Nothobranchius furzeri: one gene and its partners. The protein of the gene in region 1 binds, or shares a complex with, the protein of each later gene. Links are inferred from orthologs where the notes say so. Each region holds a gene or a part of one and is shown on either strand. Other genes may lie near its edges. The genes, in order: f2, f2r, serpind1, fgg, fga, proteinase-activated receptor 4 and serpine2.

Region 1 (3,500 bases):
AATGTCTGTTTTTTCTTTCTAAAATCAATAACTAGCACTTGTGTTTTGCCAACATTGGGTTGTAGAAAATTTGCATCACACCGTCTAACAAAGGAGTTAACTTCCTCCCTGTAAGCCAGGTCGTCTCCCCGGGAGATCAGGCCCAGCAGGGCAGTATCATCAGAGAAATTCTGTAAGTGACAAGACGGTAAACTGTGCCTATAGACAGCTGTATACAGTGTAAATAAAAAAGGAGATAAAACTGTCCCCTGTGGTGCACCAGAGTTCGTAAAAATCAAGTCCGAGCACTTACCCCCAAACCTCACAAACTGAGGCCTGTTTAAGAGATAGTCTAAAATCCAGGCAGTGGTGGAATTGTGCAGCTTAAAATCCAATAACTTCTTTCCTAAAATATGGGGCTGAATGGTATTAAAAGCACCGGAAAAATCAAAGAACATAAGTCGCACTGAACTGCTGGCTTTTTCAAGGTGTTTATAAATAATGTCCAGCAGATACAGAAGGGCATCATCCACACTCACACCCTTCCTATATGCAAATTGCAAGGGGTCTTGGAAGGAAACAGCTTGTTCTCTTAGGCATTTAAGGACAACTCTATCAAAACATTTCATTAGGTGTGATGTCAGCGCAATAGGCCTAAGATTGGACAACGTAAATGGCCTGTATTTGATATAGCGCCTTCTAGAGTCCTGGAACCCCCCAAGGCGCTTTACAACACAATCAGTCATTCACCCATTCACACACACATTCACACACTGGTGGGGATGAGCTACAATGTAGCCACAGCTGCCCTGGGGCGCACTGACAGAGGCGAGGCTGCCGAGCACTGGCGCCACCGGTCCCTCCGACCACCACCAGCAAGCAATGTGGGTTAAGTGTCTTGCCCAAGGACACAACGACAGCGACAGACTGAGCGGGTCTCGAACCTGCGACCTTCCGGTTGCGAGGCGAGCACTTAACTCCTGTGCCACTGACGCCTGTTTTCTTAGGGATCGACACAAGACAAGAAGTTTTCCACATTAAAGGTATTTTAGCAGCAGACAAGGACAACATGAAAATGTAGTGAAAGTCCGCTGCAAGCTGCTCTGCACAAACTTTAAGGGTGCGTGGATGGACACCATCAGGGCCTGCTGCCTTGTTAGGCTTTAGCTGACTAAACTGCTGCTGGACATCTTCAACACTAAAGCTAATCTCTGAGCATGCCTTCTCAACCTGATCCGTGGCAAGTGCCGATTTAAGTTTGTTGTGTAAAATGTGTAAAATCACGATCATCAAATCTGGCAAAAAACTGGTTCACCTCATCCACATCCATCCCGGTGCTGTGTAAACCTGTCTTACCCCCACAGCCAGTCATGGTTTTCATCCTGTCCCAAAGACACTTAGAATCAGAACCATCAATAGAGGTTTCCATCTTACCTTCATATTGCTGCTTACTCCGTCGGATCGGTGTCTTAAGCTCCTTTTGTGCCACCTTAATTTGCGAGCATGGTTTAGCTGTGGATAATCTGGTACAATAATTCTTTGTAACCTTGGCTGTCAAATAAAGAGCTAGGTTGGTTAACTGGTCATCAGATGGTTTACTGATGTGTCAGCTGTAGGTTTAATGACCGTTTACTGAGGAAAGTGTCTATTAGTTTAATAAGTAGTTAAGAGATGGACGCATCGGCTGTTGACCAGCTGATTACTAAACAGTGAGCTGGTTATTAGTTTAAAAGCTGTTTGTCAAAAATAACTAAATTATTTAATATTTTTCTCACTAATAGAAGTACAACAATCTGACCTTTGAACTAACTTGACAACTACTAACCAGAACCTGCTGGTTGTGTTGTAGTGTGTGGGGTGCGCCCCCTTTTTGAACAGGTAAGCAGAGTGGATAACGGAGAGAAGGAGATGCTGGAGTCCTACAGAGAACAGCGGATCGTTGGGGGGGACAGTGCCGAGGTGGCCTCAGCACCATGGTAACCACATTTATTACCTCCTGTTACAATAGTAACCACATGTATCACCATCTGTCACCATGGTAACCTCTTTTTATTAGCTGTTTCTATGGTAACTACACTTATTACCAGCTGTTGCTATGGTAACTATATTTTCACCAGCTGTTACCATAGTTACCACATGTATCACCATCCGTTACCATGGAAACTAAATTTTTTACCAGCCATTACCATAGTAATCACTTTTATTATCAGCTGGGAGAATGGTGACCGCATTTACAAGTCATTACTGTGGTGACCTTGTCTTAACCAGCTGTTACCATGGCAACATTTATAGTCAGCTGTTGTTGGTCCCTGATGGGTTTGTGGTGGTTTACAGGCAGGTGATGCTGTATAAACGAAGCCCCCAGGAGCTTCTGTGTGGGGCGAGTCTGCTCAGTGATCAGTGGATCCTGACTGCCGCTCACTGCATCCTTTACCCCCCCTGGAACAAGAACTTCACCATAAATGACATTCTGGTCCGTTTGGGGAAACATAACCGAGCCAAGTGAGATGTTCTGCTGGGATAAATTCTGGTCCAGTCGCACATGGAACTCTTTCAGACATGAAAATGTTCTCCTGCTTTTGCAGGTTTGAGCGTGGGATCGAGAAGATTGTTGCCATCGACGAAATTATCATTCATCCTAAATACAACTGGAAGGAGAACCTGAACCGGGATGTGGCGCTGCTGCACATGAAGCGACCCGTCACCTTCTCAAACGAGATCCACCCCGTCTGCCTGCCCAGCAAGCAGGTGGCCCGGACGTAAGGCCAGCCGTTCTGTCTTCTCAGTGCTGAGACAGGGTTTTAGGTCTGATCTGGTCCATGTGAAGGACCAGATCAGCTTATGGGACAACCAGGTTGGGTTCTACTAGTGAAGTCTAGCTGTCCTCCTGACCAGAGTCCAGAGACAACAGTTAAATCCATTATTGTGTTCGTGCTCCTTGTTTTAGCTTTAGGTCAGAGGTGGGTCCAGCTGGGTGGTGGTCTCCTCCCCTTTGGGGGTTTAGTTTAATAACTCAGGTAAAAACAGACTATCCTCTAACCAGTGCCTGGTCTGGTCCAACCCTTCACACTGGGTGGATTTTTTTGACTCCAGCCGAGGGATTGCTTCTGGTTCTGTCTACGGTTTGGTGAGTCCTCTCTCTGGTTCTCTTCCCAACAGCCTGATGACAAATGGCTTTAAGGGTCGAGTGACGGGCTGGGGGAACCTGCAGGAGACCTGGAACCCTGCAGCCAGGAACCTACCCACAGTCCTCCAACAAATCCACCTTCCAATCGTGGACCAGGAAATCTGCCGGCAGTCCACGTCGGTCAGGATCACAGACAACATGTTTTGTGCAGGTAATGACCAGTTCTGGGTTGGTTTAGAACTTACAGGCAGACCAGCGGTTCTGGTTCTTCTGGAGGGTTTTAGGATCAGTAACAAAACTAGGCCCCAAACCATCATCCCTCCACCGCCGTGCCAACAGCTGGGATCAGTTTTCTTCATGGTGTTTATAATTGGAAAACATTTATGATGATCTG
Region 2 (3,979 bases), on another chromosome or scaffold:
TCAGGTTTAAAAATGTTATGTTTGACATTTCGCCCACTGAGGAAGTTGGAGATTTTGAGGTGAAGGCCAAGTTTATGGGGGTTGAGATGGAAAAAGTCCAGCTTCATTTCCAGGTAAACATTTCCCAAGTGCATAGGGATTTAATTGAAACTGTTAAGGCTCTGTGACCGATTGTTCCATTTCCTGTTGACGGGAAGTATGAGAATGTGGGCATGGTTTTACCAAATGCTTCTCTATAACGATAAGAACTCATGCACTAGTTAAATGGTAAATGGCCTGTTTTTGATATTGATATAGCGCCTCCTAGAGTCATGGAACCCCCCAAGGTGCTTTACAACCCAATCAGTCATTCACACATTCACACACTGGTGGGGATGAGCTACAATGTAGCCACAGCTGCCCTGGGGCGCACTGACAGAGGCGAGGCTGCCGAGCACTGGCGCCACCGGTCCCTCCGACCACCACCAGCAGGCAACATGGGTTAAGTGTCTTGCCCAAGGACACAACGACAGCGACAGACTGAGCGTGGCTCGAACCTGCAACCTTCCAATTACAGGGCGAGCGCTTAACTTCCTGTGCCACCGTTGCCCCAAATACGTCATGGAAACCAAGAATTTGTGTTTATTAGGGCGAATGATTCCTAATCATTTTGTGTTTTGTGTCCAGGACCTCCTACAGCTGCAGTACGAAGGCGTGGCCGTCATGAAGATGTTCGACAAAGCCAAAGTTAACGTTAATCTACTCATCTTCCTTCTGAACAAGAAGTTTTATGGGAAATAAACGAAGAAGAGAAAGCAGGAATTCCTCCTTATGATGGGAACAAATTATTTAGAATTGTCTTATTTCATCAGATTTAATTTAATGGATCACACCTGAATAAAACGTTCTGATTTTCTATGTGCTGATTGTAAATGAAATTTACTTTTACAAATAAAATTGTTACAATATTTATGTTTTGTATGCAAAACTTATGAGGAAACAGCAGCGCGGAGCTGGAAAACGGCGTTCCATCTGACATGCGCATACAGGATTACTACAGTCTACCGGTGCCTTTTAAACATTTAAATGTTTTAATTCAATGTCAAAACTACTCTATGAATTTTTAATACGTGGCTATTAATAATTGTGTCCTAATGCAGGTAAATGATGTGCCGAATAAAGTTACTCCTGTCCAGAATGTTTTTCTTTCTACTTTATTTTCCTCTTGGCAAATTTTGCTGGTTGGTTTAAATTCGGGAGTAAATATTTTGACCTGACGAGTGAAGCTGAAGGGGAGGAGATCTGCAGACCGGAGGAGGAGAGGTTCCCTCCTAGACTCTAGAGAAAGAAACATTCTTCTCTCTGCAAACCCGTCTAACAAAAGGATAAGATGTGCACTGGCGCAATGCTTTTATTAATAAGTGTGTTTCTGTTTTATCACACAACTCCAGCTCTTCCCTCTCACAATGGTAAGTACTCGTTTTATAGTGTTTATGTCACCACTGAGTCGACTGAAAGTTTCATGACCAAAAAAAAAAAAAAGATTTGAATGTTTTTACCATTTAGGTGAAGTTTGTGTTTTTGTTGCTTGGAGAAAAATGCATCGGGTGTTGGAAATTATCGTGGTAATGAAATATACTTGGATGTATTAATGTTCATTCAAAAGATAAATGATACATAATTTTCAAATTAGAAGATTTTGATATTAAAGCACATTTATTTTCAGATATTCAATTATTTCACTCTCTGCTGCAATAAGTGATGTCTTTAGTACAGAATGTCTCATTGGTTAAAGAAAGAGCTTTAAACTGAATTTATGAATATTTTAAAATGTGTCTAGAATTTTATTTGTACACAAATTAGCAACCAAATAAATAGATAAGTGTAGATTTGTGCAAAATATTTCACCTCGATGGGTCAGAAACATTAAAAAGTGTTTGAATACATGTTAAACTAAACTTTAATACTAATATTTTAAACATTGTTGGCATGCTTTTATATCACACGTAATGTAAACCACCTTAAAACAGTTTTATAAATCTTCATGATTTCTCTACTTTGATTTGCTCACATCCTTTGCAAATTTCCAGTATTTACCCTTTCTCCTGTGAAAAGTGTTTATTCAGATGGTTTCAGAATGAGCAAATCCTGAAATGTACCAAAATGAGTAAAACTTGTTTTTTTTTTTACAGTTTGAACCAAACAATGCTAAACTTTTCATTAAAACACTTCAAGTTGTTCACAGAAGTGGCTGCTGCCTGCTTAGAACTGGTACTTATCAGTTACCACAGAAGAAGAGAACTTTGTATAAATCATAATGATAAATTATGTCTTGATGCATTTCTTGCAACATAACGTTTGCAGAAAATTGTGAGAGAAAACAAACATTGGATTCTTTCGTTGTTGGTAAGTTTTGTTCCTTTTCAACGATTAACTGTAGCATCAAACACATTTTTACGTTTTATTGATGCTTTTATAGAAAATAATTTTATAAATTATACTACCTTACTCTGGCTGGTAGTAGCTTAATCCTGAACAAAATCATCTCTTCAATTGAAAGCTGAAGCAAACCAGAGAGAACAGGGAAGAGGCCTTTAGTAAAAATATAATTATTAAAAAAACAAATAGCAGCAGATTTCTGAAGGTGTTATGAACCAAAGAGCGGAATACTGAGCAGTAAAACAAACACTAAAACCCTTCTGTCTTCGTTCTTTTCTGTCTGAAGGCTCGGTGCTCATTCCTCGGACGTTCTCGGGTCACTTCATCATGGTGACTGATGAACCTGTGGACTACGTTGACCTGTCTGCTGTTGATGATGTCAGCGGTGATGGGGATTCGGGCTCAGAACTGAAACCACAGTCCGTAAAAAGACACCACCATCACCCCTCAAAACTCTATTTTGTCTCAGAGGAAACCAAAGAGTTCCTCCAGGGTCACCTAGCAACAGCCCTCATCCCAACCATTTACACCCTGGTCTTCATCATCAGTGTGCCTCTCAACCTCGTTGCCGCAGTGATGTTTGTTCATCGGATACGTCCCAGGAAGCCGGCTGTGATCTACATGCTGAACCTGGCCTGTTCTGACCTTCTATTTGGTCTGCTCCTTCCCTTTAAAATCACCTACCATTACCACGGCAACAACTGGATCTATGGCTCCTTCCTGTGCCGTGCTGTCACAGCAGCATTCCACTGCAACATGTACTGCTCCGTGCTGCTCATGACGTGCATCGGTGCGGACCGCTTCCTGGCTGTGGTTTACCCCATGAAGTCCCTGACGTGGCGCAGCCCCCAGACGGCTGCAGCTGTCTGTGCTGCCATGTGGCTCGTGTCTCTGGGAGGAATCTTCCCCCTTCTGATCTCAGATCAGACCATCTACCTGTCAGACCTGGGAATCACCACCTGCCACGACGTGCAGGATGTGGAGAAGCTCCAGGCTTTCTATCTCTACTTCTTTCCTATCTACTCCTCTGTCTTTTTCTTCATCCCTCTCATCATCACTGCTATTTGTTACATACGGGTCATCCAGGCTCTGGCTGCGGCCAACGTGGACAACCGCTCCAAGAAGACCCGTGCTATAGTGATGACTGTGGTAGTGTTGCTTGTGTTTGTGGTCTGCTTCACTCCTACAAACGTCATCCTGATGGCTCACTACGTTCAGATGTCCCACTCCTCCAACGATTGCTCCTACAAGGCCTACCTGCTCTCCTTGTGTGTTAGCAGCATCAGCTGCTGCCTGGATCCGGTCCTGTACTACTACGGCTCTTCCCAGTGCCAGAAGCAGGTTACGGCTATGCTCAGGTGTCGGAGGTTGACACGAGCAGACAGCAGCTCAGAAACACGCAGCTCAAGAACCAGTGGGTCCACCATCAGCAGCCGGTCCAGCAAGATGGAGAACATTCATGCCGGCCTGGGGAGCCAGTATAACAGACTCAATCTAAAGCACTGAGACACCTTTCAAACCAGAGTAGAAACCCCCGGCGTCCGTCCGTCCATCCATCCAT
Region 3 (4,104 bases), on another chromosome or scaffold:
GCACCGAACCACCTCGTTTAACCGCATCTAAACCTTAACGTTTCACTATTATAACCTTCACCTCTCCCTCATCCTAACCTTAACCCTCTTGCCACCTAAAACGTTACTCTCACTGCGATCAAGCGTTTGTTTCCCCTGCATTCTGACTCGGACAGTCAGAGTCTGACTGTGAATTTTCGTATTTGCCGCCCAAGGAGAACGTTAGAACATACCATCTGGTGAGGGGGAGGTTACACATACCCTCTACTTTTAACCTCCACCGTGGTAGTTGAAACCTCCCCCTCGCGTTGGCTCGGTCCAAACCTGACCAATGATGAGGCGGCTCCATCCGTTCACTTCACAGAGCCGGCTTTTAGAGCGATCGACACATCACTAACGTGTTCGCTGGCAAGATGGTTAAGGTTAGGATAGGGGTGAGGGGAAGGTTAAATAAGAGGATAAGGTTAAGGTGAGGTACAATGAGCTTGTTTGGTGCCCTGGCTGCGGACATTCCATCGCATCAGTTTTACGCTGCATTGGGATCTGCAGTCAAATAAGGGAAAAACCCCTTTTCGCACATAAGTAACGAAAAAGGGCACTTTTGGCGTCAGGGGTCTGACGTGGAGGGTGGCTGACCAAGCGTTTGTTTTTGACGCGCTGGGAGTGAGAACGTGTTGCCTGCCGGCAGGAGGCCCCCGGGTCGACCCAGGACACGTTGGAGAGGTTACATCTCCAATCTGGTCCGGGAACGCCTTGGGGTCCTGCCGGAGGAGCTGGTGGAGGTGGCCGGGGAGAGGACGGTCTGGAGCTCCCTAGTTGGGATGCTGCCCCCGCGACCCGGACCCGGATAAGCGGAGGAAGACGACGACAACGACCATCAGAACAGGATGTCCCAATCATGCGTCTACCACTTCCTGCTTCCTGTGGTTTAGGAGTCAAAAGGCCTCAAAGTGTTTGAGTCCATCTGCCTCCCATGAGATGCAAAGATCATCAGTACCGAAATGAGTAGACTCACCGGACCCTTCCACAGCAAAACCCATGACCACAGAGTACAACCAGAAGTCCCTGAACAGCTTCTGGAGACGAGGCTTGGCCTCTTTGATCGGTGGAAGCCGCCTGGTCAACTGTTTCAAAAACAGACGAGAAAAGTGAAAAATGTAGAGTAACTGCATATGGTTACATCAGATATGGAAACACCACACACCAGAACAAATAAAGACACGGAAACTCTGATTAGTAATTGATCAATTAGACAGATGAGCTGAACAGTGAAGAGTTAAGGGTTTTAGCCATCCAGCTGACTTTTTGGACTGTTGTTTGATCTGGTCTATTTGTTCAACAGAAGCACACATCAAAGTTCAGTTCTGTATTCTTAGTCCTAAAAAACAAGCAACACAGCACTTCCCAGCAGCCAAAGCGAAGGTAAGACATGTAACACCCTGAAACGTTTTATATTTTACCTACAGAAAAGATCGTTGCATCTTCGTTTAAAAAATGCTTTCATCACGCCTAGAAATCACTGATGAGCTCAGCCTGAGTAGTGCTAATTTCTCCGTCTTCAGCATGTGGGTCATCACCGTCGTTTCAGTGGTCTGTCTGCTGGCCGGTCCGTCCCAGGCTGGCGTCAAAGACCTCAGCACTCACTTCGACGACCCCGAACCAAACCTCAGAGGCTTAGAACCAGGAGGCGCAGCAGACGTGGAGGCCATCCCATTGGAGTTCCACAAAGAAAACACGGTCACCAACGACCTGGTCTTTGATGGCTTCGAAGATGAAGATTATATTGATTTTGATAAGATCCTGGCTGCAGGCAGCGACGATTACAAGTAAGTTTTGGTGGTTTTGAGTTGAGAAAATAAAAGTTTTCATTCACAGTTTTTAATATTTGAATGAAGATGTTTGGAAATGTTCTTAAAAATGTTTAAATGCTCATTAGGAAATACCACTTTACAACCAAAGAACTGATTAATTCACCGTTAACGATAAGATGATGAATCCTTTCCAGTCAGGGGGATGAGATCGACGAGATAGCCACACCAGCGCCGGACATTGACATCTTTGCTGAACCCTCCGACCCAAAGATCCGCCGGGGCAGACTCTTGCGGCTGTTCCACGGTCGATCCCGCCTTCAGCGACTCAACATCGTGAACGCTCGATTTGGCTTCAACCTTTATCGCAGTCTTCGGAACAACGTCAACCAAACCGACAACATCCTGCTTGCACCTGCTGGAATCTCCATCGCCATGGGGATGATGTCTTTAGGGGCGGGTCCCAAAACTCACGATCAGATCTACGAAGTTTTAGGATTTGCTGACTTTGTTAATGCTAGCCATCACTATGACAACGCAACAGTGCACAAGCTCTTCAGGAAGCTGACGCACAGGCTTTTCAGGAGGAACTTTGGTTACACGCTCCGCTCCGTAAACGACGTCTACGTAAAGAAGAACGTATCCATGAAAGACACCTTCTGCGCAGAAACAAAAGATTATTACTTTGCTGAGCCACAGTCGGTAAACTTCAGAGAGCCGACGTTCCTAACCAAGGCCAACCGTCGCATAGAAACACTCACCAAAGGCCTGATCAGAGAGCCACTAAAGAGCGTGGATCCAAATATGGCACTGATGCTTCTAAACTACCTGTACTTCAAAGGTGAGTGGAAAATAAAAACAAGTGCTCAATTCTTTATAGATCTACAAGTGTGTTGGTGTGCTGTGATTGTGTAAACAGGGACATGGGAACAGAAGTTCCCAAAGGAAACAACCTACTACAGAAACTTCAGAGTTAACGAAAAGACAAGCGTACGCGTACCGATGATGCTGAACAAGGGGAACTACCTGGCTGCGGCCGACCACGAACTGGAGTGTGATGTTCTCCAGGTAACTTTAGAGCAGACAACTTTGACAAGCGTGCTGGACAGTAACCCATAAACCAGTCCACAGCGTAATAGCCTTCCTTATCTCCAGCTCCCATACACAGGAAGCCTCAGTATGCTCATTGCCTTGCCAAGGAAGATCACCGGCATGAGAACCTTGGAGCAGGAGATATCTTCAACTGTTGTTAACAAATGGCTCGTAAACATGACTAACAGGTCAGCAAAAGTTCACAAGTAAACACAGTTACAAGAAGTGGTTCAGAATGCTTAACAATTCTTGTGCTGACGTTTTTTTTTTAAATGTACTTCACCACAAAAAACTGAGCAACAAACTCTGCCTGTGGATTCACTTTATGGCCATCAAAAATGACTAGAGATCCCTTTTTCATCAGCACCGACCGATATTCCTTCTTGGTAAAGCCGATTGAAAGACAGGAACATTCCTGGGCAGCCCAGTGCTGCAGCAGACTTTACGTTCTTAAAGGGGCATTATGGAAGTTTGACAGCCAAAACATGTACAGAAATAATAAATGTCTTCTTCATACATTCTCCTGCAATGCCCTGGTCCTGTAGAATGAGCCCTGGCATTTTTACTGTGATTGCCTGTTTTTCTGTAAAATCACAGAAAAAGAGAGATGCTCGGGTCGAGCAGGCTGCTTCATGCGCGTTCACGCTCAGGCATCGCCCGTAGCGTTTGCTATCCGTAGCTTTAGCAGCAGAGAGAGAGGCAGTGCCACTTTGTCGCTGTTCCTAACGCCTAGTGACAAAGCTAGCTACATTTCTGAGGACCCTTAGCTACTTTCTGTACAACTTTCTTCTAGATATTTCCTGCAAATTAGCAACAAAATAGCCATTTTCACTCCGAACCGTTCTTTGGTTTGACGTTGTTTCATCTGTCATCAAGGATATAAACGTTACAGATACTGAGGACGTCACTGGTGCTTTAGCTCACCTAGTAAGACGTCGGACTCTCGTGCAGAAGACCTGGGTTTGATTCTGGATGTGAACATAGTTTATTTAGAGTTTCTTTTTTACATTAATGGTGTATTTTTTTTACAGTAAGATGCCCAAATTTTTATTTGAGACTCGCCGAACGGCATTGAATTCACAGATAAAAAAGATGTGGGTTCAACTTTCATTTTGGAACAATTTTTCAAGCAAGGGAAGGGAATGATCTGAGCATGCAGGAGGACTGACCCATCATAAACCTTTGTCGGCTGTGCTGAAGAGAAAGCTACAGAACCACATTATTT
Region 4 (4,129 bases), on another chromosome or scaffold:
CTAATCTGTGTTGGCTTAAGTAGGCTGGTGCTTCCACAATCAATTGACCAATCAAATGAGGCCAAGCCTCCTCTCAGGTATGCAGAAAGAAAATGAAAACACATATGGCTCCTACAGATAATGTTGCATAATACCTTACCCAAGGGGAGCATGTCGAGATTGAAGAGCAGTGGTCCAAGAATTGAGCCTTGGGGGACCCCACGTGTCATGGTGATCTGCTTTGCTTTGTGATCACCTATAGAAACAACATAACCCCTGTCTGTGAGATATGAACCAACTATGGACTGTGTCATATAGTCCCACCAAGTTCATGAGCCTTTCAAGAAGATGTTGGGGTTCACAGTATAAACAATCACATATTTTAACTTGTAGCAAAGTAGAAAACTGTTTAAAATACATGAAATTTCTCCTTTCTTGTTACGTACAGTCCCACATTTTACTAAAATGAAAATCAGATTGGAAAAGATCCTATTTAGTGAAGAACACAAAAGCAGACACACTGAAAGAACAGCAAGCCCCGTTGATAGCTCAGGTTTATTTAATACATATTATTACTGAGGGATACTTTGGGGGTAAATGATACATGACCCGCACCTGTATAGCGCCTCTCAGAGTAAGGACTCCAAAGCGCTTTACACTACAGTGTATCATTCATCCATTCACACACACATTCACACACTGATGGTAATGAGCCCTGATGTAGCCACAGCTGCCCTGGGACGCACTGACAGAGGCGAGGCTGCCGAGCACAGGCGCCACCGGTCCCTTCGACCACCACCAGCAGGCAAGGTGGGTAAAGTGTCTTGCCCAAGGACACAACAGCAGAATTCTCTGTCCGGAGCCGGGATCAAACCTGCAACCTTCCGATAACTGGACAACCCGCTCAACCTGTTAAGCTGCTGCTGCCCTAATGGGTAATGTTTATCCTGAAGCTGCAGCTGATATGAGAAAAGTCAAGCTTGCACCAGTGGAGTTATTCAAGAACTAGTGTGCTCACAAATGCCACCAGCTGCAAATGAAGGCCAAAACGTAGCATATACTTCACCAGCAGCCCTTCATTAAATCAATTTTAAATCAATGAAGTAAAGATTTTACTAATGTACCAAATAAATTACTATCTTGACGGGAAAATATGAGCAAAAAGAACAAAACACACCTGTGTCATCATTCACACAGGACCTCTAACCAACACACACTCACGCAGATGTTCTAAACCCAACTGTCCATTCGAAAGCGTCACATCTGGGAATCAGCTGCGGTCGGACGTTTGACTCACAGGTCTGGAACAACAAAGTGAGTGGGATGTTTGCATGTGGACACTCTTATCAAAGGTTGATCGGGGGACCTTGTTCAGATAAATAACCCTCGGAGTCCAGCAGCTCTTCACTCTCCCAAAAAACCACAAACTGGTGGCTGAATCAGCATGGCATCATCACTAGAAGCAACAACAGGAGTTCTTCTCCTACTTTTCTCACTCTCTTCAGCTGTAAGTGGCTTTAATTTTATGTAAAATGTTTATTCGTGAAGAAAAATTATACTGACGTTTGTTTTTATGTGTGCAGCAAGTCAGAGGAGACAATAGTGCATCATGCAACATGAATGATGGCTTTGTAAGTGTCTAACTTCATCACAAACTCATACTTAGTGATTTTTTTTTGCAGTCTAACTTTTTGTTTCTGTATTTATTCAGGGGAAGTATTGCCCCACCACGTGTGGCGTTGCTGATTACTTTCTGAGGTATTTTCCTGGAGTCAACGAGGACCTGAAGACGATGCAAGCAGAACTGGAGACCATCACAAATTTGACTCAAGGAGCCGATGAAACCATTGTGTACATGCGAGACTCGGCCACTTCAGCTCAGAAATCTTCACTGACAGGTGACATCATCATCTGGTTCAGACTCCAGTTTAGATTTTATCCTTAGTGTTTTATATGTTCAGTAAAACACAGATGAGATTTTACACGAGAGGATTGTTTGTGTCACTAATCTGGTTTGTTGGGATTTTCAGATCCGTACTTTAAGAGGTCCTCCAGCATGCTGGATGATGTCCTTCGGTTTGAAAAGACTATTATTGCACAAGAACAGCAAATTCTGTGAGTTACGGTCAGCATTTAGACGTTATGTTTCTAGTGTGTGAGGACATGATGTCAGCTAAATGTTATTTTACAGTTTTTAGTTCAATATTTCACATCTTTTCATTAGTTTATTTGTAGAAAGTAAACTAATGCGTGCGTCTTTCTTTTAAAACACTCATGTAGTGTCCTGTTGCAGTGTAGCAACTCTGAGTAAACACCAAGCTAAACCTTTGTCAAATAGTAAAGGAGTCAGAGTAGAGTTGACCTTTTACTCTTAGAGCCTTCATTTGACAAGCGGTGAAAACTGTAATTGAAAACAAATACAGAACAGAATAAATTATCATGTTTACATAAATATTGCCTCACAAACTAGCTCAAAATAAGACTTGACGTAATTGTATTAGCCTGAGGAAAGAAAATGACCATCAAACAAATTCCTCTTTTAACATGTACAAATCAATCATTGTGGAACACAAATAAAATAGTTTTGTTTTTGTATTTTTTAACAACATTCCCAAGTGGTTGGCTGTGGATAAGCCTCAGAGCATGACCGCATGCCACTCTCACTCTCAGAGCAGCCAGTAAGAGGAGGTAAACAGGAAATTAACCAATACAGGTAACCCAGCAGGAAGTGAGATTATTAGTAAGTTCACCTTCAAAATAAAATCTTCCCATTTAACATTTTAACCTATTCACTGTTCTTTATAACTTAAAAACATACAAATGAATAACTTTAAATGAAACATAAAATATAAATGACATAAATGCCTTTTGAGGCGTCACAACTCATATCCTCCAGCTTCATGTATTAGTGAGTTGTTATATTCTTTTACTTTTTTGTCTTGTATTTTATCCAAAAAGAACACTCTCAAAAACTGTGACACCTTTTAGAACATTGTAGTCATCATTCATAATAGAAAAGTAATTTCAGTCATCTGGAAGAAGTAAAAACTTTTTGAAAATCTATTTCAAAACAAATTATACAGATACAATATATAATTATTTTTCTTAAGTTACATATTCGATACAAGACGTGTTTTTAAAGTTGTTTGCACTGAAATCTTCTCACATGAAGCCTTCTCAGAGATTTTTATATTTGTCAGATCCAGAACTTCCATAATGAGCCGTTTCAAGGTCTCTATCACAAACTGGAGCTGGCCATGCCCACCCAACCTTGCTCAGGCTCCTATAGGCTGAGAAGCTCTGATGTCTGGGAGGGGCTTGGAGTAGAACTGCTGCTCCTCCAGCAGCAGCCCTCTCTTACATGTGAGAAGTGGTTCTATTCTAATTTCCCAGTTTGTGACCTTACAAACGAGGGCCTTTTGAAACGGATTGTTTTAGGCACATCATTCTCAAAACCAAACCCTGACAAAAAAAAACGCATCAATGCATTTTTGCTACATGTGGAGTTTTTATAGAGGCAGTAGAGATCTGCCTGCTAACACTAAAGGATGCAAAAGGTGGTTTTGTATATCATGTCCCCTTTAAATCAAGCCATTGAGAAATTTCCCAGCCCATTTTTTTCTCAGTTTCATTCTTAGTTTATTCTTCTTCATTTTTTTTTCTCCATTTGTCTCCACTGTCAATAATAAACATGACAATCCTTACTGGCATATTTCCAAAGTTGTGGTTACAAAGCAATAAAGTGACTTTTAGACACAACCCATGTTTGTGACGCTGTTTCCAGGGAGCTTAACGATTTAATCTCCTCTAATGAGAGGACAATGGGGGATCTGAAGACGCTTGCAATGCAGCTGCAGCAAAAATGCAGTGAACCCTGCAGAGACACAGTTGAGATCCAAACTACCACAGGAACAGGTAAAAAAAAAAAAAAGACACATTGACACACTCTGACCTTCAGGCCATTCCTGTTTCACAATAAGTTTCTCAATCTGCCCTCAACTGAACAACATTTGTCCCAGTTCAGTGTTTATTCAAAGGCTGAAATCAATATGCATCATCCAAGCAGAGGACACGTGCTCATTTTAGCCCTAATCGTTTAGCCTTAACCTTTCATTTATGAGTCTCATCAAATTAAGTAAAGGAACTTCGT
Region 5 (4,073 bases), on another chromosome or scaffold:
TAAGACGTGTGTTGAACGTGCCCAAGTCCATACTTATGAGAGCACCATGTGAGCACCTGTGTGCGTACACGCGTTTGTATATGTAAGGTTTTTCTATAGGAGCGTCCAATAGAGAGTATGAGGGGCCACAGATCTTCCCCCCAAAGATACGTAGGAGATGGAGGGAGCTCCAAGTCCCAGAGATCCGGGAGCTGCCCCAGAGCACAGGAACCCCAAGGAGACCGCAACAAGAAAAGCCCCTGCCCCCCTCGAGAGGCGCAGAGGAAAGCCTCGGGTGGCCACAACCAGCAGCCGGTGGAGTTCTGGAAGATATCGGCGGCAAGCCCACAGGCCCGCCCGCAGCCTCCCACCCCGCAACCGGCCAAGCCCGGGGCCCAGGGGCGACCACCCTCACCGGGGACCCAGCAGAGCCCAGGGACCCAGACCCCACCAGGCAGCCACCGGGATTGATCAGGCAAACGCCAAAAATCTTAAACCCCCTGACCTGGGAGCCACGAACACTCAGGCAGACCAAGGCACCACACCCCACACCAGGTGTGGCAGGCAGAGGGGAGGCGAAGATCTATATCATCAAAAGAAGTCCCAGGAGAGGGGAGGAGTCAAAGGCGCCACCTGACATATGCAGTCATACACAAACACAGTCACACACTCCCTCCCTTATGCTCACACATGCACATACAACCAAAGACTTACAAAAATGCACGCCGGACACCCACTCATGCTCCCCATACACACCCTATTCACTCTGGTCCCGGTACTGCTGCACATGGGGTACAACCATTACCGGTTCCCAGAGTTTGACCCTTTCTGCTGGGGTGCTGATGAGCAGGTTCCCCCGCCCAACGCTGAGCACAGCAACCCACCACCCCAGACCCCAACCAGACGGCCAGATCTCCCTCCTCCAGCCCCAGGAAGCCAAGCTGGTTCTGGTTTCTGTGTTAAACTGTTCTAATTTCATCATAGTCCCAGAAAACACACACACGCACACACACACACACACACACACACACACACACACACACACACACACACACACACACACACACACACACACACACACACACACACACACACACACACACACACACACACATTTATAAAAGAGATCTGATCCCTGATGGGTCAGCAGGTCAGATGTTCCTGCAGCTTTACTCACCTGTGTGGGAACAGCTGACTCAGCGGTGTGTTTTGGGTTGTTTTTGTGTATTTTGTGTGTTAGTTTTGTGAGTTCAGACACACTAAGTACAACAAACAGACGGTCGGTGTGAGCAGGAGGTCGTTGCTCAACTCTGACCGGACCTGACGGAGGTTCTGAGGTCGGACGCTTGATAAGACCCGGCAGCGGGGCAGCAGGAACATTCAGAGGAAGAACCAGAGAGATGAAGATGATGAGGTTACTGGTCTGTCTGGTGTGTGTTGCTGTGACTCAGGTGAGCTCCACTTTATCCTCTAGAAAATTCATGAAATGATCTCACCTGTAAGTTTGACTGGTTTAACTGGTCAAATTCATCCTGTTTGACCAAATCTAGAACCAGATACTCTTAATGTTTATTTGTCTGTACGAGTTATTGAATGAAAATGCAGCTTTTATAAAAATAATAATAATAATAACAATAACAATAATAATAATAATAATAATAATAAATAATTAATAATAATAAAGGCTGGGCAGAAACTGGAGGATGCCATTAGTGTGAATGTAGAATAAAAGGAAATTACATTTTTCCTGATAATTTCGTAAAAAATGTTAAAATCTTTCATTTAAAGGCAGAAATTACAAGAATATAATTATATTTTTCTGGCTGACTTTAAAATTGATAGAAAAAAACGGAATTATTTACTTGAATCTGAAGGAAAAAAATGACTGAGCTGAGTAAATAAATAAGACATATGTTCTGGTTTTATTGAGAAGAAATTACAGGAAAATTTCAAAAATTCCCAAACGTTCTTCCTCTGACAACAGAACCAAATGTATTCTGAGAAGGTCGTCTTTTACTTCCCAAATATCTGGGACATTTCAGAACATTATAATGAATACATTAAAATAGTTGCTGGTGAATATTAAGTGAAGATCTGAGAGGTTTTCCTCGTTATCTCATAATATTTATCAGGTTTTGTGTTTAAACGTTTGTTTTATACTGAGAAAGTTAGAATTTAAGATGAACCAGTAGAAACCCACAAAGCCACCTGGACCTACCCAGACCGCTGGAAGAACATCGGTTTAGAGCTGCAGCTGATGCAGGAGCGTTTAAAATCATTTATATTTGCCGAGAAACGTAAAACAAGGCCTCAGACTTCTGAGATTAGAGTTAGGATTGTGACTGTTTCTCTGAATCTTCTCTAAATATCAGTTATAAGAGAGAACCATGATGTCGTCTTTGGACACAAAAACCGAAAAGCTGCATTTTTTTTATTTTATCTACATTTAAAGTAACCAGGAGCCGTGGTGGAAGGCCCACCGAGCTACTAGTAGCTCCAGAGCCGCAGATTTCAGACCCCTGAACGAGACGTGGTTCATCGGGTGAACAGGTGCGTGCTAGGGTCTTCCACTCTGGTGCTACATTAGTGTCCATTTCATCTACTACAGGTTGCGTCTCAGGTTGACCCGAGAGGAGCCCGTCCTGTGGAGCCTGCTACCCGATCAGACAAATGTTCCACCCAGAAGGAGTGGCCCTTCTGCACCGATGATGACTGGGTAATTCTGCTCTTCATCACCTCATAATCCACCCGTCAGAGCTGCTGATGCTCAGGAGAGCAGGAAGGATCACTCCAACGTTGAAACTCTTAATTCCAACTTCTCACATGACAGATTAAATGTCTTTAGTGGCACGAAGAGCCTTCCACAGATTTTAATCCCTCCTTGGTGTCTGACGCTCAAACTGTTGCTTTGTGCTCCACCAGCTCTCCAAATGCCCGTCAGGCTGCAGGATTCAGGGCTTGATGGATAAAGCGGACCATGAGCTGCTGAAGAAGATCGAGAAGATCCGCAGCCTCCTGAACCAGAACAAGGCCAAGCATCGCTCCACCGACCAGGTGTCCAAACAGACCTACGACTACCTACGGGACAGACTCACCACCGATTCTGGTCCGTTTGAGGAGAAACCTTTCATATCTGACACACTTTAAGAAGGAAAGCGAGGAGAAACAGACTCGGAGAAGGTAGGAGGGTGTTTGGTTGGAGCTGATCATGAACATGTTTGACTACAGGAAACAACAACAACTACTACGACCTGGCCCAAAGCCTCCGACAGAGGATCACCGACATGAAGATCAGGATCGACAATCAGATGAACACTCTGGCTGCCCTGAAGAATCGGGTCAAAAACCAGGTCACCGAGATGCAGAGGCTGGAGGTACGGAGAGTCTGCAGGGACAAAAACAAAGTCTTAGTCCTGAAAACGACACGAATCAGCTGTTTTTATCTGAACATAGAAAATATAAAGATTAACAAACAGAACATCAAACTATTAGCTAAATTAGGTAATTTCCTGTTACTAAAACAACAAAAACACCTATTAGACCCAAAAGATCCTCCTGCTGTTTAGAAGCAAACATCAGAGGAGTCTAACCGGAGTTTAAATTCATTCTGTAACAAATAACGTCCAATTTTCCATGAAGTTCCCACAAAGCTTTAAATGTTGTTCTGCTGCCACCAAAAACTCTAGTCTAGTTATAGATAGATTAACATCAGAGCTACCTGACTGGTGCAGGGTTATCTGAGTATTTGCTGCCCAGATTCATCTCTCCAACCTTGTCTTCTGTCAGGTTGACATCGACATTAAGCTCCGTTCCTGCAAAGGTTCCTGTGGTGGGTACAGCGAGTACCAGGTGGACAAGGAGAGCTACGTCAACCTGGATAAACAGGTAAATCAGGATAAATCGGACCTTTGTGAGGAGGAATTTCAGCCGGACTCATTCTTGGCACCCTCCCTCAGATGAGGCAGCTGGAGGCCCAGTCGGCCCAGAGCGTCGAGTCGGTCGGGACGCTGTATGTGATGAAGACCAGCTCTCTGCAGACTGCAGCTGCAGAAACCAGATTCAAATCCAAGGATGTAGGAGGTCAGAAGAAAGAC
Region 6 (4,029 bases), on another chromosome or scaffold:
GTTTTATTCTTAGGTCATGTTAGTTTCCTCCCTGATTAGTAATTGAGTTCACCTGGTCTCTCTCTCCCCACACACCTGCAGTTCATCTCCCTCTCATCCTCCCCAGTGTATAAAACCCTGTCTGTGTTACAGTGTTTTGTCAGTCCATTGTTTGGTTTCAGCGTTGTTTTGTGCCTCGTCAATAGGTATCTAGGTTTTTGAGCTCTTTAAATGAGCTTTTTGTCTCCAGGGTTTCAGGACATTGGTTTTTGGCTTCCTGCCCTTCTGGAACATTTTTGTTCTCCTTCCTGATAAAGGAATGTTTTCATTTACATCCACTCCTGCCTCATGTCGTTCTGGGTGTCTGCATATTGGGTCCAAACCTCCTCCAGGCTCACAATGTGACAAATGTAGTTTTGTTATTCTAACGGTGGCACCAGCGTAGCATCCACATCTGTCAGAATGGGTGTTCTTCACCGGGTTGGAAACTTTGGTCCGCCTTTATGTGGTAGCTACTGCAGGACTGAGCGCTGGAGATGTAACCGGGGGGGGGGGGGATTTACAGTAAGTATGCAATAAATATGTATTAAAAATACAGCCTAGAGGTTCTTTTATGCAATGTCAGGAATGCATGAATGCATGCAGGGATAACATGCTAGCAAGTATCAGCAGAGCCAATAGATGAGCTTATGGACATTCTAATGGGAAACAGGCTTCAATACAAGCGGTTGTCTTCCGCTTGGTCATAGTCCTCAACCAGTGTCTATTTAACATAGTGTAGTATAGGTTTTGGATGGTAATAAGTGCAGGAGACAAAAATCGACTTTGGAAAAAGTAGGGGGACATGCTGCGCTGACTTTGGAACACTGTGGCTCAGGGGCTAGGTTAGAGCAGGCCACTCCTGTTAAATGAAGGAACAGGAATGCACATCAACTCCGTTTCCCCTGAGTCATGTATTATGTGCTGCCACAGCCCTGAGTTCTAGAAGAGCAGCAGCCCTGAGTAGATCCAGTCTGACCCTAGCTATGATCGGAGTTCATACCAGAAAGTGAAGAGCAGAATGTACACAGAGAGAAGCTGAAACTTGAGAAAGTCCTCAGAGACATGTTTAAAACACAGACAAACACATCTGGATAACATAAGCTGAGTGGGCGAGGCCAGCAGAGGGTGGATCAGACGGATATCCTCAGACCCTCACAAAGCTGATGCAAGTCCTGCTATTGCTGATCCACTGTGGACACACTGATATTGCTTCTGAACAAGTCTAGGTTCTACTGAGAGCTTTTGGACCATTCCTGGACTGGTACCGCTGTGACTGAAACTCGAGGAAACCAGAAGCAGCTATTTGTGGTCTAAACTGTCTGAAAAGTGAGTACAGCAGAGAAAAACCACAGAAGAGGAATGAAGCTGACTGTTGGGACTCCCCTCTTTGTGTTCATTCTGTCATCCATCTGCAGTGTCTCTCCATCTTCTCATCCTGGAGATGTATGTTCGGTCACGCCTGTCCGTAAGTCTCCTTCCTCGTGGTGCACACAGCTGGACTGGCTGTGTTCTTTCTCTCATCTCTTTAGTCAGGTTTCTTTTGGAGGATCAGAGATGAATCAAGATCTCTGGAATATGTTTTCTCTTTTGCTAAAATGTTTGTTGAAGTTAAAACTAAAGTCGAAGCGGATGTGAAGAGAAGTCTGAGCTTCCTTTTAGAAACCAACTTATCTCACTTCATCTCTTTGGTCTAGACCAAAACACGTCATGCAGACAAGTACTTAACAAAGTTTGCACCAACAGATGAAGGTAATGTTTTAAAGACTCAAGAATAAATGTAGAATCCACATTACAAGCATTTCTGATACAAATATATTCTCTGATGCGCTTTCTTGAGTCCATGGGCTTCAAAAGTCAGCATTTCAACAAGGTCAGTTCCCAGATATTTGTAAGACAGGCAGGAAATCAATGTTGAAAGAGCAAGCCACTCCAAATCAACATTTTCTTGCTGATAAACTATATAAATGAGTGTCTGATCGTGCTGTAGACCCGTGTAGTCAATAATTCGGCACTTTAGTGCATCTTAGTTAAAATTAAAATATTCTGCCTAAAACTGTCAGCGATGCACCGTCATCAGGCAAAAACTCTGCACTGCATTCGAATTTAAATCTGCCATCGCTATTGGCTAAGAGGTACACTATGATGTTAGATGGTACATTATGATGTCACAATGTTGTGAGTGTGTATATTTGTTAGCGGCTCCGCCCTCTTGGTCTGCTAGGGAACAGCATTTGTTGCATTTTTCAAACAGGAAGTGGGAGTTGAGTAAGAATCTGGTAGGGGGTGACTTGCTCTTTAAGAAGAAACTAAAATGTAAGCATAGAAAAGATCAAAGAAAACACCTAAAAGAAAACACTGGAATCAAAAATCCTCAGATATCTACAAGTCATTGTAACAGTCCCTAACAGGCTTCAAAGACGAGTTCTTGATTCAGTTAAAATAAATTCAATTAAATTTCATTTCATTCATTTTTAATTCCATCAATCCATCCTTTTTTATCCCCGTATCCAGAATTGGGTCGCGGGGGTCAGCGGCCTAAGCTTAGAGGCCCAGACTTCTCTCTCCCCAGCCACTTGGGCCAGCTCCTCTGGGGAAATAAGATGCTCCCTGGCCAGCCGAGAAACAATTGTCCCTCCAACATGTCTTGGGTTCAGTTGGACATGCCTGGAAACCCTCACCAGGCAGGGAGGCGTCCAGGAGGCATCCTAACCTGAGCCACCTCAACTGGCTCCTCCCGATATGGAGGAGCAGCGGGTCTACTCCAAGCCCCTCCCAGGTTACCGAGCTTCTCACCCTATCTCTAAGGGAGAGCTCAGCTACCCTGTGGAGAAAACTAATTTTGGCCGCTTGCATCTGTGATCTCATTATTTTGGTCACTACCCAAAGCTTGTGACCACAGTTGAGGGTAAGAACGTAGATCAACCGGTAAATCGAGAGCTGTGCCTTCCAACTCAGCTCTCTCTTCACCACGACAGACCGATAAAACACCCACATCACTGCAGATGCAGCACCAATCTGCCGATGAATTCAATTTATTTTTATTGTGAAGACTGCCATATGTACAAGACTTGCACTGAATTTAAATGACATTTACTGATAACTCATGGTGCAAAAATCAAAATAGTAAAAAACTGAAATATTTAAGATAAAAATTTACTGTGTAAAAAAAGACAAAACACCCAGTGGTGTTATGCAATCAGCAATATAGAGAAACAAAGTGTGTTGATTATATTTATATGATTGAGTTAACTGATTTATTTAATTGCACTTTTGGTGTTAATTGGATGTATTTACAATATATTATTGATTCAATTGGTCAACAAGATTGATGAGAATAATTGAAATTTTGTTTTTATTGACTAATTAGATTTGTTTGACTGGATTTATTATTTAGAGTTTTATATATTCGATAAGATTTGTTAACTTGATCGATTTGATGTTTCAAACGTGTTTTTGCCAGACTTAAAGTCCATTTAAAAAGAAATAACACACAGATAAAATAATCAATTAAAATAAAGCACAAGACATGAAACCTTTAATACCAATGAAATTCTATATAAAATCGCAGGATGTAGCTACAGCGGAAGTAAGGGACGACGCAACTAACTGAGTCATATCTACCTAAACATTTTAGCCAGTGCCTTCTCCGCTTAGACAAATAACGAGAGCAACTCACAGTGGGATTCGAGAGTGCAACTATATTACTATTAGAAGATTCTTCCAGCCATGTCATAAACGTAAACATTAAATTTCTCAGAAGTGCCTTAAATGTGCACACCCTCACAGAAACAAGCATTTTACTAGCACTTCCTCCCCTGGGAATTTTGAGGAGGATTCTCATTGCATAATTGTAAGCCACTTGTAACCTGTGCAATTTGGAGTTTTTTTATAATATGACCACAGATGTGCAGTGTGCAGAGGTGTGCAGTATGCTTTAAATAATGACACTTTAACAGGTGTAGAACAACAGTTACATTTCCGTGCAATGGTGTTTGCTTGCACATATAA
Region 7 (4,158 bases), on another chromosome or scaffold:
AAAACCTTTGTTTTGTTTGATGATGAAAGTTGGTTTCTAAATGGTTTCTTGGATCCTCCTCATTATTATTCTATTCAGGCCAAGAGGTTCTGAAAAATCATGGTTGGATGCTGGCCCGTGCCATTTTCCTCTGTTCTCTCAGAGATTAAAAAGCACAGTTTGAAACTGGAATGACATTGAGAATAATTGTACTGCACAGCTTGCCATTTGTGCACTCTGACTACCTCCTAAAAACTTATTTGTTTTATTTTGTTTTTAATGCAAATTCCATTTTTGCATCCAAGCTGAACATATCAGTCCCTCAAAGACAGAATTAGACCCGTGAAATCAGAGTCATTCACTCAGTGAAGCTAAACTACAAAATGAGTTTATGATAATGGAATATCAGAATCTTTGTTATCAGAAACATTTATGCAGCCTGTGTGTGTAATCATCCATCTCCTGAAACCTCAGAGACCAACCCGTGATCATTTTTGGTGCAGGATGTAGCAAACTTTGTATTGCTTCTCAGCCTTTTTCTTAATCTAGCCTATCAATTAAAACATTTTAAACCTAGAAACTGTTCTGAAGAAGTCCCCTGCTGCCCCGTATTCCTCAACACAAAATCTCTCTGAGTGCCAAAAACAGTCCATAGGCTGCACTGAATAAACAAATTCAAAACTTATAGATGAAGTTGTTTTTTATGTAATGTGCAATTATGATCCAAACCGAATTTTAGACCAAAAAATTCTCCTGAGGGATAAACATTGTTAAGATTTCTAACACTTTTATGCATGAATTAGGATAACTCCAGTCAGGATTTATTTTTCTTAAATACTTTTCTCTTTTATACCAATCTTTTGACAGGAAATTTGAAACATTTGAGTCAATTTTGAGTCTTTACAAAAATGTCTATCAATTGTTGCACAGCATGCATTTTTATATATTCTTTTTATTTTAACAAACTATATATTTTTATGTTATTAAGCACTTTTTGTGCAAAGATTTGCCGGTTGGGCACACGCTCGGGACTTTTATTGTGAAGAGGTCAGAAGCAGGAATGTGTGTGTGTGTGTGTGTGTGTGTGTGTGTGTGTGTGTTAAGCTCAACTCGCTTAAATAATCACTGTTTGTCATCAACATCAAAACAAAATTCAGTTTTAGATATTGAAAAAACTTATTAAACAAAATAAATCAACACCAAATCAAATTATCTATCTATCTTTCTCTAAAATGTTTTTTTACTGATAGATGGAACATTTCAAGAAGGTTGTGTTTTGTTTCGTGGGGCGATAATGTGAGCTTTACTTTGAAAGTCAGGCGGATGTACACGCTGTCCGGGTCTTATAGTTGTCGTTACAGAGACGCGAACTGCGTGCTCGGTTGTTAGTTGGAAGGCGGAGTTCAGTCTAATAAATTCCTCTGAGAAGCAACGGCGGAGTTGGTAGCAGCGCTCCGGTTTGTGGGATAAAAAGCTAATTTTCTCCTTCATTAACGACACGGACCAACTTCCGCTTCACGCTTGGACGTTTACTTACAACGGACTGATAAAGGCTCCCAGTTTCACCTGCAACAACAAGTCCACTAAAATAGCGTCACCTCCTTATAGGTAAGAACCACCGTCTGTCCGGTTATTTTCCTCTGACGAGGCGTAATTAGCTTGTTAAACAAGCCCAATGTAGTTATTCGCTTTTTTAAAAGCTGCTTTTATTTAGATGAACGTCTCCTAATGTGGAACAAACGCTTCTAGTTGGTTTTAGCGCACATGTTGAGTCCGCTAGATTAAGCTATTTGAGCTAAACTGCCTAAAACCCCATTTTCTGGTTGAAATTTAACTAGTTAACGTCTCAGTAGACTAGTCGTAAGGGAAAGTCAGCTCCTGAGTGGCTCCCTGCTGTTCCCATGCGTAGGAACGAGGAGGGATGCAAAATAGTTTAGTTTAACTAGACTTTAGTCATAACAAACCTTTCTTTGTGTTTGTCACCCACTTCTATCAAATAAGATGAATTTCCCTCAAGATGAAAAATAAATTAAAAACCCAACAGCTTGCAGCAGGGAGAGCAGGGACGCCCCATCTGTCCTGAGGACTCTCCGTAAGTGGAGAGGCTCACAGGGTTTGCTAATGGGCCAGAAGATTTAATTTAGTTTCATCAAACAGAAGCAGAGAGCAGATCCTCCCCTCCCCTTTTCAACACTGATAACATGTGGTCTTTAGACAGCGAAGGCTGATTGGTCAACGCAGAAATAAAAATATTTTAGGACAATAAAGGTGGCCATGGGGAATTAAACATTAACACTTGAGTAAATAAAAATGAGGTAACTTAAAGGATTGCCTGCTGATGTGTTTCCTCAGGATAAAGCAGAGAAGGCGTCTTTTTGTGTTCCTTTTATTGTTCCAGGTGCTGAAGATATGAAAATGAGGAGTGCCTCCTTGTGTTGCCTGCTTGCACTGGTGATGCAGCTTGGCCTTGAGGGTGTGCTGTCTGCAGCTCCATCGTACGGTGAGCGCGGCTCAGACCTCGGCATACAAGTGTTTCAGCAGGTGGCCCGCTCAAAACCTGTGGAAAATGTGGTTCTTTCACCCCACGGAGTGGCCTCCATCCTCGGGATGCTGCTTCCCGGAGCCCACGGGCAAACTAGGAAGCAGATCATCAGTGCTCTGCATTACAAGAAAAAAGGTAAACAGGATGTGCATAGAATGACCCCCTGACCTGAAATCCCAGCCACATGGGGTGGAATCTTAGTTATTACTTTTAGGTGTAAAAGAAGACAAACTTGTTGTGCACAGGACCTTATAAGATGCTGAGAAAGCTGCACAAGACCTTGACATCCAAGTCGAACCAGGACATTGTGCTGCTTGCCAACGCCATATTCAGCCAGAAGGATTTCCCTATTGAGGAGACATTTGTGGCCACAAACAAAGCCAACTTCCAGTGTGAGAGCAGGGCCCTGGACTTCAGCGACCCCAGTGTAGCGGCCAACCAGATCAACGATTGGGTCAACAGTAAGACCAAAGGTACAGATCATTGCTTGGTGCAACTTTAAACCCTGTTTTCAAACCATCACCCTAAAAGTTGCATGTGTAGGTGTGCCTCTGTAAGGGTTGTGTTTAGGTAGTAAAGTATTAGTGTCAGGTTTTGACTTGTTCTTCCTGAATTACCTGGAATGGAGGTAGGTGTTTGCAAAGGCTGGTTTATGTCAATACAACCTAGAGAATCTCATCACACACACCTGGGGTCTATTTCACTACCATTGTTTCTACAATTTTTCTTGCTGTTGGTCAGCAGGTTGTTGCTTCCTCTTTTTTGGTGAATCTAAATTGTGTTGTGATTTTGTTGAGCCTTTTTAATTTCTGGTTGTCATTTTTCCTCCAGGTCACATCCCCAGCCTGATCAAAGAAGACATGCTGGATCCGGCTCTGACCCGTCTGGTCGCTATTAACTCGATCTACTTCAAAGGCTTGTGGAAGTCGTGCTTCCAGCCCAATAACACCAAGATGAGGCCCTTCAACGGGGGGGATGGAAATGTTTATAAGGTTCCAATGATGTCGCAGCTATCAATCTTTAACATAGGTAAGTGAGATGGCTCTGAAATGGTTTGATCTGGTCTGGAAAAGATGACGCGTTCACACAGTGGTTATAAATAAATGTAACTTCTGCAGTGGACCCCCTCTGCTCTGGTATAATCAGTCAATCAATCAATCAATCAAGCAAGCTTTATACACTCACCTAAAGGATTATTATGAACGCCTGTTCAACGTCTCCTTAATGCAGTTATCTAATCAACCGGTCACATGGCAGTTGCTTCAATGCATTTAGGGGTGTGGTCCTGGTCAAGACAATCTCCTGAACTCCAAACTTAATGTCAGAATAGGAAAGAAAGGTGATTTAAGCTAGTTTGAGCATGGCATGGTTGTTGGTGCCAGATGGGCCGGTCTGAGTATTTCACAATCTACTCAGTTACTGGGATTTTCACCCACAACCATTTCTAGGGTTTACAAAGAATGGTGTGAAAAGGGAAAAACATCCAGTATGCAACAGTCCTGTGGGTGGGGTTTCTTGGCACACTTTAGGTCCCTTAGTGCCAATTGGGCATGGTTTAAATGCCACGGGCTACCCGAGTATTGTTTCTGACCATGTCCATCCCTTCATGACCACCATGTACCCAGAGGCGGAGCTGG

The links.
Region 2: the proteins of f2 (region 1) and f2r are in contact, whole or in part, in a crystal structure (PDB 3LU9), measured with the Homo sapiens proteins. The link is inferred for Nothobranchius furzeri from reciprocal best matches to the Homo sapiens genes F2 and F2R. Residues at the interface, in NP_000497.1 of Homo sapiens: Phe382, Arg383, Pro386, Gln387, Glu388, Leu389, Leu390, Cys391, His406, Cys407, Tyr410, Trp413, Lys415, Leu423, Arg425, Arg431, Thr432, Arg433, Tyr434, Ile441, Met443, Glu457, Asn458, Leu459, Asn506, Thr510, Lys517, Gly518, Gln519, Arg541; in NP_001983.2 of Homo sapiens: Ala33, Thr34, Asn35, Thr37, Leu38, Asp39, Pro40, Arg41, Ser42, Phe43, Leu44, Leu45, Arg46, Asn47, Pro48, Asp50, Lys51, Tyr52, Glu53, Pro54, Phe55, Trp56.
Region 3: the proteins of f2 (region 1) and serpind1 are in contact, whole or in part, in a crystal structure (PDB 1JMO), measured with the Homo sapiens proteins. The link is inferred for Nothobranchius furzeri from reciprocal best matches to the Homo sapiens genes F2 and SERPIND1. Residues at the interface, in NP_000497.1 of Homo sapiens: Lys384, Ser385, Pro386, Gln387, Leu389, Leu390, Cys391, His406, Cys407, Tyr410, Pro412, Trp413, Asp414, Lys415, Leu423, Arg425, Ser430, Thr432, Arg433, Tyr434, Lys440, Ile441, Ser442, Met443, Asn458, Leu459, Lys470, Trp511, Ala513, Asn514; in NP_000176.2 of Homo sapiens: Glu75, Asp76, Asp77, Asp78, Tyr79, Leu80, Leu82, Ile85, Phe86, Asp89, Asp91, Val305, Glu306, Met307, Thr308, His309, Gln327, Asp343, His361, Lys362, Arg388, Thr457, Val458, Gly459, Phe460, Met461, Pro462, Leu463, Ser464, Thr465.
Region 4: the proteins of f2 (region 1) and fgg are in contact, whole or in part, in a crystal structure (PDB 2HWL), measured with the Homo sapiens proteins. The link is inferred for Nothobranchius furzeri from reciprocal best matches to the Homo sapiens genes F2 and FGG. Residues at the interface, in NP_000497.1 of Homo sapiens: His450, Pro451, Arg452, Arg461, Arg486, Ala489, Ala490, Leu493, Ile530, Val531, Glu532, Arg533, Cys536, Asp546, Asn547, Met548, Phe549, Cys550, His605, Phe607, Arg608, Leu609, Lys610, Lys611, Trp612, Lys615; in NP_068656.2 of Homo sapiens: Pro439, Ala440, Glu441, Thr442, Glu443, Tyr444, Asp445, Ser446, Leu447, Tyr448.
Region 5: the proteins of f2 (region 1) and fga are in contact, whole or in part, in a crystal structure (PDB 2A45), measured with the Homo sapiens proteins. The link is inferred for Nothobranchius furzeri from reciprocal best matches to the Homo sapiens genes F2 and FGA. Residues at the interface, in NP_000497.1 of Homo sapiens: Phe382, Lys384, Ser385, Gln387, Leu423, Arg425, Tyr434, Glu439, Lys440, Ile441, Ser442, Met443, Lys470; in NP_000499.1 of Homo sapiens: Trp52, Pro53, Phe54, Cys55, Ser56, Asp57, Glu58.
Region 6: the proteins of f2 (region 1) and proteinase-activated receptor 4 are in contact, whole or in part, in a crystal structure (PDB 2PV9), measured with the Mus musculus proteins. The link is inferred for Nothobranchius furzeri from reciprocal best matches to the Homo sapiens genes F2 and F2RL3. Residues at the interface, in NP_034298.1 of Mus musculus: Glu385, Leu386, Leu387, Cys388, His403, Tyr407, Trp410, Asp411, Arg428, Arg453, Glu454, Asn455, Leu456, Trp501, Gly502, Asn503, Trp508, Thr510, Gln516, Arg538, Ile539, Asp559, Ala560, Cys561, Glu562, Gly563, Asp564, Val585, Ser586, Trp587; in NP_032001.2 of Mus musculus: Asp54, Lys55, Pro56, Asn57, Pro58, Arg59, Gly60, Tyr61, Pro62, Gly63, Lys64, Cys66, Asn68, Asp69, Ser70.
Region 7: the proteins of f2 (region 1) and serpine2 are in contact, whole or in part, in a crystal structure (PDB 4DY7), measured with the Homo sapiens proteins. The link is inferred for Nothobranchius furzeri from reciprocal best matches to the Homo sapiens genes F2 and SERPINE2. Residues at the interface, in NP_000497.1 of Homo sapiens: His406, Tyr410, Pro412, Trp413, Trp455, Arg456, Glu457, Asn458, Leu459, Glu509, Thr510, Ile542, Asp562, Ala563, Cys564, Glu565, Trp590, Gly591, Glu592, Gly593, Cys594; in NP_006207.1 of Homo sapiens: Val225, Arg288, Ser355, Ala356, Thr358, Thr359, Ala360, Leu362, Ile363, Ala364, Arg365, Ser366, Ser367.

The regions. Positions count from the first base shown.
Region 1 is NC_091743.1:82,272,541-82,276,040, reverse strand, and holds part of f2 (prothrombin), read left to right. Parts: intron 1-1,828; coding exon 1,829-1,955; intron 1,956-2,313; coding exon 2,314-2,481; intron 2,482-2,564; coding exon 2,565-2,738; intron 2,739-3,138; coding exon 3,139-3,317; intron 3,318-3,500. UniProt on the Homo sapiens protein: Thrombin, which cleaves bonds after Arg and Lys, converts fibrinogen to fibrin and activates factors V, VII, VIII, XIII, and, in complex with thrombomodulin, protein C. Functions in blood homeostasis, inflammation and wound healing.
Region 2 is NC_091757.1:44,245,667-44,249,645, reverse strand, and holds the start of f2r (proteinase-activated receptor 1), read left to right. Parts: upstream 1-1,179; 5' UTR 1,180-1,369; coding exon 1,370-1,448; intron 1,449-2,704; coding exon 2,705-3,924; 3' UTR 3,925-3,979. Other genes in the region: ras GTPase-activating-like protein IQGAP2, read left to right, coding at 5-113, 667-780. UniProt on the Homo sapiens protein: High affinity receptor that binds the activated thrombin, leading to calcium release from intracellular stores.
Region 3 is NC_091757.1:55,843,805-55,847,908, reverse strand, and holds the start of serpind1 (heparin cofactor 2), read left to right. Parts: upstream 1-1,304; 5' UTR 1,305-1,401; intron 1,402-1,492; exon of another isoform or gene 1,493-1,541; 5' UTR 1,542-1,542; coding exon 1,543-1,805; intron 1,806-1,984; coding exon 1,985-2,628; intron 2,629-2,706; coding exon 2,707-2,855; intron 2,856-2,942; coding exon 2,943-3,067; intron 3,068-4,104. Other genes in the region: pi4kab (phosphatidylinositol 4-kinase, catalytic, alpha b), read right to left, coding at 995-1,103. UniProt on the Homo sapiens protein: Thrombin inhibitor activated by the glycosaminoglycans, heparin or dermatan sulfate. In the presence of the latter, HC-II becomes the predominant thrombin inhibitor in place of antithrombin III (AT-III).
Region 4 is NC_091744.1:17,238,710-17,242,838, reverse strand, and holds the start of fgg (fibrinogen gamma chain), read left to right. Parts: upstream 1-1,329; 5' UTR 1,330-1,423; coding exon 1,424-1,486; intron 1,487-1,562; coding exon 1,563-1,610; intron 1,611-1,690; coding exon 1,691-1,877; intron 1,878-2,009; coding exon 2,010-2,094; intron 2,095-3,763; coding exon 3,764-3,894; intron 3,895-4,129. UniProt on the Homo sapiens protein: Together with fibrinogen alpha (FGA) and fibrinogen beta (FGB), polymerizes to form an insoluble fibrin matrix. Has a major function in hemostasis as one of the primary components of blood clots.
Region 5 is NC_091742.1:90,961,135-90,965,207, reverse strand, and holds the start of fga (fibrinogen alpha chain), read left to right. Parts: upstream 1-1,273; 5' UTR 1,274-1,379; coding exon 1,380-1,430; intron 1,431-2,587; coding exon 2,588-2,695; intron 2,696-2,901; coding exon 2,902-3,085; intron 3,086-3,207; coding exon 3,208-3,353; intron 3,354-3,765; coding exon 3,766-3,864; intron 3,865-3,935; coding exon 3,936-4,073. UniProt on the Homo sapiens protein: Cleaved by the protease thrombin to yield monomers which, together with fibrinogen beta (FGB) and fibrinogen gamma (FGG), polymerize to form an insoluble fibrin matrix. Fibrin has a major function in hemostasis as one of the primary components of blood clots.
Region 6 is NC_091741.1:64,408,393-64,412,421, forward strand, and holds the start of proteinase-activated receptor 4, read left to right. Parts: upstream 1-1,229; 5' UTR 1,230-1,380; coding exon 1,381-1,486; intron 1,487-4,029. UniProt on the Homo sapiens protein: Receptor for activated thrombin or trypsin coupled to G proteins that stimulate phosphoinositide hydrolysis. May play a role in platelets activation.
Region 7 is NC_091753.1:19,313,805-19,317,962, reverse strand, and holds the start of serpine2 (glia-derived nexin), read left to right. Parts: upstream 1-1,358; 5' UTR 1,359-1,587; intron 1,588-2,377; 5' UTR 2,378-2,388; coding exon 2,389-2,656; intron 2,657-2,766; coding exon 2,767-2,994; intron 2,995-3,352; coding exon 3,353-3,550; intron 3,551-4,158. UniProt on the Homo sapiens protein: Serine protease inhibitor with activity toward thrombin, trypsin, and urokinase. Promotes neurite extension by inhibiting thrombin. Binds heparin.